Linked DNA regions of Danio rerio. The protein of the gene in region 1 purifies or fractionates together with the protein of each later gene. This does not show direct contact. Links are inferred from orthologs where the notes say so. Each region holds a gene or a part of one and is shown on either strand. Other genes may lie near its edges.

Region 1 (6,501 bases):
ATTATTTATTTATTCCACAACTAACAGTTTTCAATACCATGTTTACAGAGATAAAGTGAATAGCCTTGAGTTAGTCATGTGACCTCAATGTAAATGCAAAATCAAACTGCTTTTTTGAGTGAAACATGCACTATCCAGTGGTAAATTTTCCATTCATTTCCATTCAGGGAAACTGATTTTAAATTAACTTCTCAATCACTTTGCTATGAGCTATACAAGATTGTTAATCAATGATATGTGCATTTGTTGAATCCATCAACATGCATTATTTGAGTATTTTAAAACAATTATGAAAATACATTCATACATCATATAAAAATGTCCTGATGTTCGAATAGGATCCAAATCCCTCCCATTTTGAGGCCCACCACAACTTGACATAGGAGTTCGGTTTCCCTGCCATTGAATTGATTGACATCCGTGTATTAACATGTCTCCGTAGTAACGCGTATAATCATATCAACAAGGCAGTTCAGCAAGATCTGTTCAGCGCTCTGTGATCATCAATCATCAAAAGAGGTTAAGAATGAGGTTTGCAAGTTTAAAATGTTTTTAAAACAGTGCATGTTTGTCGTGAATTACAGCGATTTTACCATCTTTATGGCAATACAATTATAAAAGACGACAATGACAATACAATTATAAAAGACGACGCTTCCATCCCGGTTTGTGGACGTTAAATCAGGTTTATTTTGTACATTGACATAACGGATATCCACAGTAGTGGATATTAACGTGTATCCTGTCAAATTTGCTGTGCAAAAACAGTGCAAAGTTACACACTTTGTGTGTGCTTGTGTGAATGTGCGTAAACTTTGTAACATCATTGTGCGTGACTCATCATTGCAGGAAAGCTTGAATAAACTCCAAAACAAATACATCAAATAATCATTGGGAAAGTTCTTACTGTAGTATTTCTCACAAACGTTACATGAGATCTGCTTCCTTCATGTCTGTCACTGTGCTGTTTATCTGACGCAGCCATGGCGGAGATTGAGGAACACTGACAGGCATGTGGAAACGGTGGGTGGAGAGAACTAGCATTAAAGCCACAGGACACAAAAACAGCTACATAGTGTTCAGAGCAGAAAATTTAAATATTCTCAGAAGTCTAATAAATAATCTGATGGGTTTTTGAGCTAAAACTTTACAAACACATTCTGGAGACACAAAAGACGCATCTTAAATCTTGAAAAAGCGCTTAAATATGTGCACTTTAAATTTTTGCTTTTGTAATGATGTGCTTCACCTTGTTACTGATCAGCTCTGTTCATGGGTTATTCTGTGGATCTTTCATGAAGACTACTTCAAAATAACTAAATTAATCCAGCGGTAAGAATAGATGGAATTGCTGTAATCTTCTCAGTTTTAATATTACAGTTTATTGAGAATTTCTAGGTTAAGTGGACGTCTATTTTGGTGGCTAGCAAAGGTTGAAAGTCTTTGCTCTAGTATAATATAAACATCTCAAGTCTTTCTGAACTTCATTTCAAACATGAACTTGAAGGATTGAGTAGGACTGATCAATTATTTTAAGATTCTAATGCAGAGTTGCCACTATAGAATATTATTAATCCTGAAATGCTCTAGTTGGTGTCAGTCATGTTGTGTTTTATTGAAGAGCTGTGAAGAAATATGGAAATGGTGCTGATTGTTATTAAAATAAAAATTATTATTTGAGTGGTTTGTTAGCTCAGCTAGATGAATTGAACAAGGAATGTTTTAACTATGGTGCTGTTTGGTCATTTTTTATGGAAAAAATGTTTGTTTTTATTCTAATCTGAAAGAAAACACATGGTAAAGGGTTTGGTACTTCCCATGTGAACATGCAAAAATAAAAATTTTAAATAAAATGGGCAGGATTAAAAAGGTCACATGATCTTGAAAATAATAGTCGCATGTTAATTGTGGTTAAAATGACAACATTGGAAACAAATAGGAAATGTCTTGTAGAATCAATAGTGAAAGCTCAAATTGTTTGTAAAAAACTTTTGGAAAAATATTTCAGAATTTATTTTGCACATTTTTAATAACATTAACAAACTGAGTAAGTTTTTTTTTTACTTTCACTTTTATATTCAAGATGTATGACCGTTTGGAAAGTGACATTTAATTTTCAGGTATAGTCAAACACGGTCAACGTATGATCATCATAGTTTAATACAGTTTTATTTAGTACCATAAAGTTGCAAATTCTAAAAGCCAAATTAAACCAAAACAACGTTTAATATAGTGCAATGAGTCTAGGCATATTTGACATTGATTCAGATTGTTTTGACTGCCATGCGGACATAGCTATGAGTTTAGGACAGATCAACTTAACCAGAGGGTGACCTGAACATTCATTCATTCGTTTTCTTGTCGGCTTAGTCCCTTTATTAATCCGGGGTCGCCACAGTGGAATGAACCACCAATTTATCCAGCACATTTTACGCCCTTTTGATTTTACATTTTTGATGCCCTTCCAGCCGCAACCCCCTTGGAAACATCAACACACTCGTTCATACACACTCATACACTACGGACAATTTAGCCTAACACAATTCACTGTGAATTGGACTGCGGGGGAAACCAGAGCACCCGGGGGGACCCCACGCGAACGCAAGGGGAACACGCAAACTCCACACAGAAACGCCAACACGGTACGAACCAGCGACCTTCTTGCTGTGAGGCGACAGCACTACCTACTGCACCACTGCGTCGCCCATGTGACCTGAAAAAAGATGTCTAAATTAAATTATTTTAGACCTTTTTGTTATGATTAACAACCATACAGAAGTAGGAAATCCCGCAAAAACTCTCCAACACAGTGAAAAACAGCTCGAGTGTGTGTCAGAGGTAAAATGCGCGTGCCTGCTTCAGGGAAGGGTCGCTCCCAAAACGTGCTCGTCCCCGCTGAGACACGTGATGACGTTTCACTTCTAGCTTCTCAAAGATTTCCCAGTTAGCGACTGGCGGACAGTAAAGATGGCGCCGGAGCTTACCGTGTGTACGAGTGCGACGAGAAGATGACGACGATACGATTAGTTACTTTCGAGCCGCGGCGTTGACAGTGCTTCACTTAACGGCCCTGCGACAGAGGCTCGCGAACTTACTGACTTTGGCGGTAGTTGATCAAACCTAACGGACACAACCCGCGCGCGGACAGACCTTTGCTTTTGCCATGGAGGATATCAACTCAAACATAAACGCGGACTTGGAGGTGCGGAAGCTCCAAGACTTAGTAAAGAAACTCGAGCAGCAGAACGAGCAGCTCCGGAGCAGATCCAGTTTACTGTCCTCTTCCTCCCCTGGCGGGAACACCAGACCGGTGAGCGCCGGGTTTGACTCCCCGGGAGCGGCAGCGGCACTCGCCGGGTTCACAGGGGTGGGGTTCGGCGGATCGAGGGGTTTCGATGAGGCTTTGAAGAACTCCAGGCTGAGCCCCAGACGATCATATCACGGCAGCAATTACGGAGATTATGATAGTGACAGCGGTTCATTTACCACCTCGAACACGAGTTTCGCGTCTTATTACAACGATTCCCTGGATTATATCGAGGACGGAGAAACTTCAGTGCTGGACGAGGTGGAGGTCCTCGATTTGGAGGACATGGATTGCCTGTACGAAGAGGAGGACAGCTGGTGAGTAAACTGTCAGTGCAAGGTGTTAACCCCGATCACAGGAAAATCACCTCTCCCAGACACGCGCACACACTGTTCATGTGTTTGACAGGTGCGCGCAGCTGCGTGTGTGTGTTGTGTGCGTGCAGACGACACAGAGAATGACGCGTGTTTGGTGGAATGCGCTTGATACATTGTTGCTCTCCTGTCTCTGACTAAGGGCTGGGGTTGCTTTATTCAGTGCATTCACTGCAGTACGACTGTCATCTGATGATTAGTGCCTGGTGTCTGAGCATTTGGGAGCAACAGTTTGCTGACTGCATGTATTCAGCTCGTACCACGGCCTTTCTTGCAGTTGCTTCTGACGTGTTGTTCTTTTTTATATGTCCTTCAGGTTATTTTAGAAGCAAGATGTGCTTCGTACATCTTCCTAATGACAGCCATGGTGTCATGCTTCAATGATGTCATTACAATCACACACACACACATGATGCATTTGCATCTAGATTTACTTTCTGCTCAAGCCTCGGATATGCTGGAGCAGACTATGATTGTACATAAAAGATGTACATAGCTTTCCGCTTGATCAACACTGTTTATGGCTCATTTAATGGGATAATTCACACAAAATTACAAACTGAGATGTAGATGACTTGTTTTTCTTCAGTAGGACATTAAAGAAGTCATTTAAATCATAAAATCTTATTTTCTAGGATATAGAGTACAAAAAAATGTATAAAGGCAAGATTAAATGAATACTCCTTGTCTCCTAAAGTCATAAAGCGAAATGATCAGTCTGTGAAAGAAACTGAACATTATTTACAATATTATTAACCTCAAATGATGTTCCCTTTGTGAGATTGCATGTGAAGAAGCCCACTTGGTGAACTGTTTGCAGAGGCTGTGGATTAAATAATAATATTGTCAATAATGTACTTTTTGCACAGACTGACTATTTAATGCAAAAAGACCTCAGTCTACCATCAGAAACAACTGGTATAAATATAATTGGTTTATTTTTATTTTTTGTCTTTGTTTTTCATTACCTCTTAAAGTACTCTTAGACTTTTTATGCATAATATAAATCCCTAACGACCACAGTTTTAGCAAAAAAAAAAACCAATAAATTATACTGAAGGAAAATTTGTCAACAAAACGATTTTTTGAGAAATAATTACAAAGATTTACATTAAAAAAAAAAACAAATCGGAAAAACTTTTTTCCTCAATCTACATGCAGGTCATGCAATTGATAATTAGCGCTACTAATGTAAATGTATGCATACAGTGCTCAAGCAAAGATGCACTGAACAAACAGTGTGAAACAGCTGTCCACAGGTATGTCTGCTAGTTCTAACAAAACAAGTAAAAGTAGAAGAATAAAATATTTAAACTGCAGATGGATCTCTGTTTAAAGTCCAAATTCTGTTATAATACTGGAATGAATAAAAATGAACTAAATAATTATAAGTAAATGAGTGTGGCAAAATAAATGGTGTCACCCATCGATGTGCTTCAGTTCTAATTTGTGAGCTCAAATATAAAGTTTTTCAGGCATAATTCATAAGAGGATTCATTTTTAAGACTTTAAACTTTTCAAACCAACTTTTACTTATTTGTCAGCATAAGCTAATTATTTAAAATATAAAAATAATATTAAATGAAATAACTTGCGATTTGACTCATGTGCAGCCAAAGTGTTGTGTCCCATTTAAAATACCAACTAGATAAAATCAATGCAGACTGTTGTAAATCTTTATTTACTTCTATTTCATCTAGTTATGACAGCTTATTCAGCAGGATTGACTCTAGTCTTAAGTGTCTCATTATCTGTCAAAAAAAAACATTATAATGTGCTGATATGGAAAATTACTTGGCAGTCAATCAATTATTATTTTTCAATCAATCCTGACTCCTAACTTTTGAGAATATGTATTTCTCTTTATTTAATATATATATATATATATATATATATATATATATATATATATATATATATATATATATATATATATATATATATATATATATATATATATATATATATATCCTCTTTGGCTCCTGCAGTCCCCGTAGACAGCTGCCTTTTATCATTTTTTGATCTTTTGTGGATTGATATATCAGTGTAATCCATTGTTTGTGTTGGCTATAATCTGTGTCTGAGATTTTCTGTGGTTTAGGTCAGTTTTCACAGACTCAGAATGCTGTAATCCGGACACTTGATCCGGTTTAGTTGTATATCTTGCAGTGGCAGCAAAATGCTGGGAAATCCCTGCAACAGCTGGAGTCCAACAGATCAGTGATCTAACAGAGCTAACACTTGATCACTACCAAGAGTTGGTAAAACAGAAATGTACTTGTCAAACAGCTTGATTACAGCAAAGAGGATACAGCATTGATTTAATCTTTTTAGTCACGGCAAATAAAGGATGAGATTATCTTTTCTTTGCTTGTTGTATTGTAGATTTAAAGGTGTTTAGGGTCACTAATGATTTCCAAGTCACGCTGTTAGCAAATCTCTTGACCAGATAAGAAGATAATGAATTTGTAATTGTTGAATCAATAAAAGAGCAGGAGTATGTGCACAGTTCTCAAAGTCAGATCTGCTCTGTTAGGATGATGTGAGCATTGCATAGCACATATACTAAAAGTTTATCTCAGGAGAAATGCACTCAATTCTGACTGCCAGATTCTTTCACCAGCATCAATCCTGCTAAATACTCCACTTGGTTGTGTGCCATTCCTCCTTACTCCTTTCTGACTGATCAAAATGGTTTATGTCAGTTTATTTGACAAACAGCATTAAATCTGTCATTGATTAGAGGATGTGCTGCAGGATGAGTAGTGTTAAAATTTGACTCCAACCTACGCAATATTCTTACACTGTTATTCAATAGTC
Region 2 (6,504 bases), on another chromosome or scaffold:
AGATCTTAAATATTGTAAACAAATGAATGAGCAAATACATTAAATAAATTATAAACAATTATTGTTATTACATTTTTATTCTAAACTGTGAAAGCACTACAAAAGATGTGCTCAGATTATTCTCAGACTGAAATACAATATGCAGAAAATGCATATGCAGATTATGTCTTAAAATAAATGAAATCACCTCGTCTGAGGACAGCCGATATCCGTAGCCTGTGTGTTTAATGTATGTGATGTAAGCTGAATGCAGGTCAGTAGTGCGGGGAGAGGGAGTCAATGCACTGACTGACCTCAGCACAAACATGCCTTTGTTATGTAACTCTCTCCTCTCCTCTACCCTGCCCCGCCCATTCTTCAGTGTGCTTTTTTGGTTTAGTCTTTGATTCTTTTATAAATGTTTTTGGCATACTAAATGAACATACAACCGCAATGCATTTCTAATATTTTTATGTATACAAGTCCATAAACATTCGCAAAGGCATATATATGCACGCATTGTTTTGTTTAAGCTTACCATACATGATCCCATAACAGTCTGGCACTCATTGAGGCATTGGATGTGATCCGATGCTGCCCTCTTGCGAAAAAAGGCAAGACACTGCAGGTGAAAAGGGTAAATAATTATTAATAGTTATCGCCATGCTTCCACAGCTGACTGAAAACATTAAGAATTGCAAAAATCATAAAGTTTGTATTACAAGTTTCTACAATGCTATATTTAAGTAGGCATGTATAATTAGTATTGATTATTCTGCATAAATTTCTAGCACAAAAACCTGAACACTGAATGATAATAGGTTCAAAATTTTTGATGCTTTTTTGGCATATTTAGAGTAAAAGGTTTTAACAGAAGGGAATTAAATCACTGCTTGATTCGGAAAATTCAGAATAAAAATCAACAAATTGGGTATAAACCTCTGTAAACATTTTATCTATATATGAATTTTATTACTTTCTATATTTATTAATATCGATAAGAACAAATCTGTATAAATCTGGAGTCCAAAAGTGATTAAAAATCATTCTGAGAAAAATTTGTATTGTAATTGAAATCTATGGAAACACTATAAACTTTTAAACGTGTTTTTTTTACGTTTAAATTTAAAAATTTCTCAAAATTGACAGGTACATCAAATGTATGCTTTTGCTTGCCATGACTGCTGGTAATGATTAAAAAAATGGGTAATTAAAGCTAGGTAAATCATAAAAAAAAGTTATTGTACCCACTATACTTTTTAAAAAGATAATTATGTTCATAATAATGCACAAAAACAGCAATAAACATATATATTTCAAGGCGTTTTACCAAATTCATGGTAAATGGTTTTTACCTTGTGAAAGAAATTTTGAGGATTCTTTTTTAAAATCACCACTTAATTCTAAAAAAATCACTTTTTGTAGAAGAAAATGGAGTATTTGTGATCAAACTAATTATGCATAAGCATGTGCCTCTGCAATCTTTTACCTTTATATTAATATTATTATTTTCTGTATGTATTAGCTTAGAAACTAATAAAACTGTAAAAACTTGCGTCCGTAAATGATGCTGAAGTGATTTTTGCATGACAAAAATATATTGAAATAAATATGCATTGTAATTGAAATCTATACAAACAATTTCTTTACAATACATTTTTTTAAATTCAAAACAACAAGTACATTGTCATTTAAATGACAAGTATATCACATGCATGTATTGCCATGTCTGATGGTAATAATAAAAAATAGTTATTATTAAAGCTTAAAAAAATGCATCAACAACAAAATGATTTAATGTATGCGTTGATTAACAGCAAATATATTATCAAAAACTAAAATTATAAAAGACAATTATGTCCATAACATGCACTGTTATTGCAATATGAAACGAAATTCATATTTAATACATACCCTGTTGCAAAGCTTGTCGTCACGTTCATTGTATGGAGAAAACATACAGTGAAAGTACATTGTGGTTCAAAACATCACTCTTCCCTGATAACTTTCCATTTTCAAGACAACTCAAAACTAAAGTATCATCTTCAGTACAGCGAAACACTGTAAACGAAAACAAAACAGTTATATCTAATATCTAAGCTACAACAACAGCAGTAGTTTACACTGTCAAATCTACACTTGTTTTCAACAAGTAAAAGGGTTAAATGAGGTTATTTATCTTCATAAACCGTCTGCGTCAACGGCTTACCCTATTGGCTGGTTTGGATGTCTGTCAAATGTATATCCTGTACAAAAGCGCAGATTGACGTGCGATGCTATTGGTCGATTCGTATAATCGCCCCGCCTGACGAGAGTTGATTCTTGCATTTAATTGGCTGAGAGTGCGCCGTTTAAATTTGAACCGTTTCAAACGGGGAAAGTTATAAATGCAACAACAACATCTCTATGCTGTGTGTCGAGCTGACTGTCTCTGCGAAGAAAACGGTTTTTATTAGATTTGAGCAGTTTGAATAAGGTACGTATTTTAGAAAACCGCCCCCGAGCCACGTTTATAGGATTGTAAGTTATTAATGCGCGATATGAAACCATAAAGGTAACTTAATCGCTTTGACTTTTTTGCTACGTGAGTGTTGCCAGAACGTCGAACATTCTGATGTAACGTTAACTTAATCCTGTTATTTTAAGATTGCGATAAGTGATTGTTAGCTATCCTTTATGTAACGTTAGAGATTTTTTTTCTGTTATAGTTAAATTTCTAAAGTTCGTATGGAAAGGGCATAAAAATGTAGAATTAACATTAAGTATGACGTTACGTGTAACTTATTGATTTTGAGCACTGTTGGAGATAACGTTAATTTATTTGCATTAAAAACTTTTTTTTAAATAAATAACAAATTCTATATTTATTTATTCATTCATGTATTCAATGTTGTTTTGTCATCCACGTGGGTATGTGAGCTGTTAGGCTAAATTCTGTCTTGCACTCAATTCTCTGGCTGTGCTAAACGTTATGTGGTTTATTTATATTTTTCCACTGAAGTGAGGGATTGATCTGATATCTCACTTTTGTTCAGGTTAAAATGTGATCATTTGATTTATGATAGTGAGCTGTTTATCACCTGTCCAGGTAAGCTGTAGGAGAGAGAAGCTGTCAGAAGTACCTGTCAAATACAAAGCTGACAATCATATTGTCAGGCCTACATAGTTGAGCAGAATCCAGGCAAGAACAGATAAGGCCAGAAGTGGTAATGATTTTGTTTTTTGATTTTGTTTGTCAATCTCTTCCTTGTTCCTACTTATTCTCACAAAAAAATCACAGTATCAGGGGATTGGCATAGTGTTTGATCATGATATATATATATATATATATATATATATATATATATATATATATATATATATATATATATATATATATATATATATATATATTTTTTTTTTTTTCTTTTCTTTTTTTTTTCACTAAAAAGAAGCACTTTGTTCCCTCAGCACAAGGCTAAATTGTCACTGGTTTGGGTTATTAGTCACAGTGGGTTAGTCTGAAAGGAGATGCAACAGATTTGAAGTGTCTCAGGACTAGGGTCTCTGGGTGTTGGGTCAGATGCCCGCCTCCGGGTCTTATCAGCAAAAGCAGCTGTTTATGGTGCCTGCTGGGCGTGACTTTCCAAAACCCATGTTGTCATTTTCTGTGTCTCTGTTTTACAGTATGAGTTCTGACGCGCTGAAGGAGAATCAGGGAGCTGTACGGATGAACAGCAATTCTGAATTCGCTTGTGACATTTTCATGTTGGATCAGCCGACTGGCAGACCCTCGATTTTGCGGCAGTCGCAGGCTGACAACATTAACAGGACTGCTCCTAGAGCAGCAAAGGTGGGCTTGACAAATTTCCATGCAGTATTTTTTCTGTACTGTATAATGTGTAATAAAATCACTGGTTATAAACCAAGTGTTTTCCATTTTAAAAAGTAACTTGTTCCTTTGACTGTAAATTTACCTTTTCTATAGACACTTTCTTTAGTGTCATATGAGCACATCTGAGTGACTTTTCAAGAAACAAAAACACTTATGAATGGCAGGTCGATTTTGTTGAAGCCATGCTACATTTTATTTTGGATTCTTTAATATTCACAAATGCAGTATTTATTTGTACTATTATAAATTTTATTTTGCATGTAATAATTGAACCCTTTCTTGGCCTTGTACTACAGCTTAGACTAACCTGCACGTTACTTAATTTCTCTTATATAGGTTTGTTTTCAAACCCCACGGCGAGATCCAGTGACAAAGAAGATCATGTCTCCAAGCCGCACCAGTAGGCCGATCAGCCAGGATGATCACAAAAATGCACTAGAGACTCTCACAGGCCTTTCTGACCAGTGAGTAAATTACCTGCATCTCCAATTGTTCAGGACTGTTGATGACCATTTGTGTATTTGGTGTACCTTTTATTTATATTAATTTCCACCAAAGGCACTTCTTCGAACAGACCCAGAGACTTCTGGTGTAAAATGATGGGTAAAACATAATGATCCTGTTTCCAAATAATATTAACATGGGTTTTCAAAAATTTTGTCTGAAAGCTGTAAACTTGCTTGGGATGTATTCACGGTGAAAGGACATATTTCTTTCAAATCTTTCACAATATAATGATTCAACTTTATAATTGAATCCACATATCATGTTTGACCTGTGGTGCATGCTCAAATAGGATTCCTATTTGACATTACTTTTTCTTCTTGACTATTGTTGATGCCCACATTGCAAAACAATATTTCAGTGCTAAAACAATATTTTGTCAACTTTAATGTACCACTCTAATAGTACAAGGTATTCATAAGAAAACTAGGTTAAAGATTAATTTTTAAAATATTTTTATGTAAGCCTCTTAACCTGTTTTTAATGGACAAATATGCTAACGTGTAAAACCTCCTTTTGTGTTTTTCAGGAGTTCATTGATGAATAACACTCACACCACACCAATTGACATAGAATGTAACAGTGTTGCTTTACCTGATGATGACATGCCTGTTCAGAGCAGAGGGGCCTATTCCTTTGATCTTGACAATATTGATGCCATCAACCCTTTCCAGGGCTCCAATAAAATGGCGAATTCCCCACCTAAATCTTCTGCTTTTACGGAGGCGGCAACATCAGAGCTTGTAGAGTCTAACACAACCATAGCCCCTGTTTCTGCACCCCAGGTAGAGGTAGAGACAGAGGCAGAAGTGACTGACAGTGCATTTGAAGAAGCTGTCCCATCAGTGGAGAATTCCCTTGCAGAATGCTCTGCCAACATCTCATCGACAGAGGGCAACGTAGCCCCTGTTCTTGCACCTCAGGCTGAAGTTCCAGAGGTGACTGAAAGTGCACTTGATGAGACTCTCCCATTTGTGCCATCAGTGGAGAATTCCCTTGCAGAATGCTCGGCCAACCTCTCTTCAGCAGAGGGCACAGTCATCCTCAAGACTGAGAATATTGAAAACAGCACCAATGAAACAGAGGAGACTGAGATCACTGACCCAGTGGCAGAGCCACAGCAGATTCCTGTTTTTGAGGGTCAACCCGAGGCACAGGACTTGCCACTACCTTCTGCAGGATCTTACAAGTTGGATTTTGACAACCTTGAAATGCTCAACCCATTCCAAACTGGTGGGTCAAAGATCCCCAACTCTCCTCCAACCAAAACATCAACAGTTTTTGACCCACCCCTGCTAAGCCACGAACCTGAACAAGAGCTATCAGTCCAGACAGATATCCCAACATCCTCCGATCCATCCATAACACCTCAGGAGAACTCCACTGCCACAGAGAGTTCCTCATCTACAACTGCCCCAAAGGAGAGCCAGATGCTATTAGAGTTTAATTTTGATGATGGAGCTGAAGTTAAACGCAAACCTCCTCCAAAACGCCTTGGGGTCAAAAGACCTGTTGGTGCAAAACCTGTGCCCAAAAAAACAGATGCACCAGTCACAGAGAAAAAAGATGCAGAACCCAAGCAGATGTCTCCTACAAGCCCAGAGGAGACCCAACCTGTGGATATTCCTTCTGCTAAAGGTTCTTACACTTTTGATTTTGAACAATTTGATAACCCAAACTTTAACCCCTTTGGCACAAAGGCTATGATGGGAAACTCACCACCACGTGGGGTCCAGACCAGTCCAGTTTTGAAGAAAGCACAATCTCCTGTTAAGCAACTTGAGACACTTCCTGCGCAGGATGACCAACCTGAGCAACGGTACGTACACCGCATACACAAAACGCTGAACATTTCTTATCTGCACAAGCTAATAATGGCCTGATTCTACTAAATAGCATGGTTTTGAAAGTACGGTTTCATATTTAACTGTAATTCCACCGTCAAAAGTATTAAAGCAGTAAACAATACCATGTTACTTTTTTGGCACTCTTTCCTAGTACCTAGTGCAACAGTACGGTACCGAATGGATTTACAGATGATTATAATATCGAAAATTTAAAAACAAAAAAATACAGCTGAGACGCATGACACCATATTAATATGATACTAGATTGTTTTGATCTTGTTGCAATTAAATTCCAAGAAG

The links.
Region 2: the proteins of slain2 (region 1) and tacc3 purify together in Homo sapiens (co-immunoprecipitation; 3 studies listed by BioGRID and IntAct, counting the BioPlex papers as one, with this or other methods). This does not show direct contact. The link is inferred for Danio rerio from reciprocal best matches to the Homo sapiens genes SLAIN2 and TACC3.

Annotation. Positions count from the first base shown.
Region 1 is NC_133195.1:26,071,035-26,077,535, reverse strand, and holds the start of slain2 (SLAIN motif-containing protein 2), read left to right. Parts: upstream 1-2,960; 5' UTR 2,961-3,163; coding exon 3,164-3,624; intron 3,625-6,501.
Region 2 is NC_133188.1:39,350,003-39,356,506, reverse strand, and holds the start of tacc3 (transforming acidic coiled-coil-containing protein 3), read left to right. Parts: upstream 1-2,338; 5' UTR 2,339-2,455; intron 2,456-3,067; exon of another isoform or gene 3,068-3,185; intron 3,186-3,645; 5' UTR 3,646-3,646; coding exon 3,647-3,811; intron 3,812-4,189; coding exon 4,190-4,317; intron 4,318-4,886; coding exon 4,887-6,176; intron 6,177-6,504. Other genes in the region: mfsd2aa (sodium-dependent lysophosphatidylcholine symporter 1-A), read right to left, coding at 518-601, 1,894-1,953. UniProt on the Homo sapiens protein: Plays a role in the microtubule-dependent coupling of the nucleus and the centrosome. Involved in the processes that regulate centrosome-mediated interkinetic nuclear migration (INM) of neural progenitors.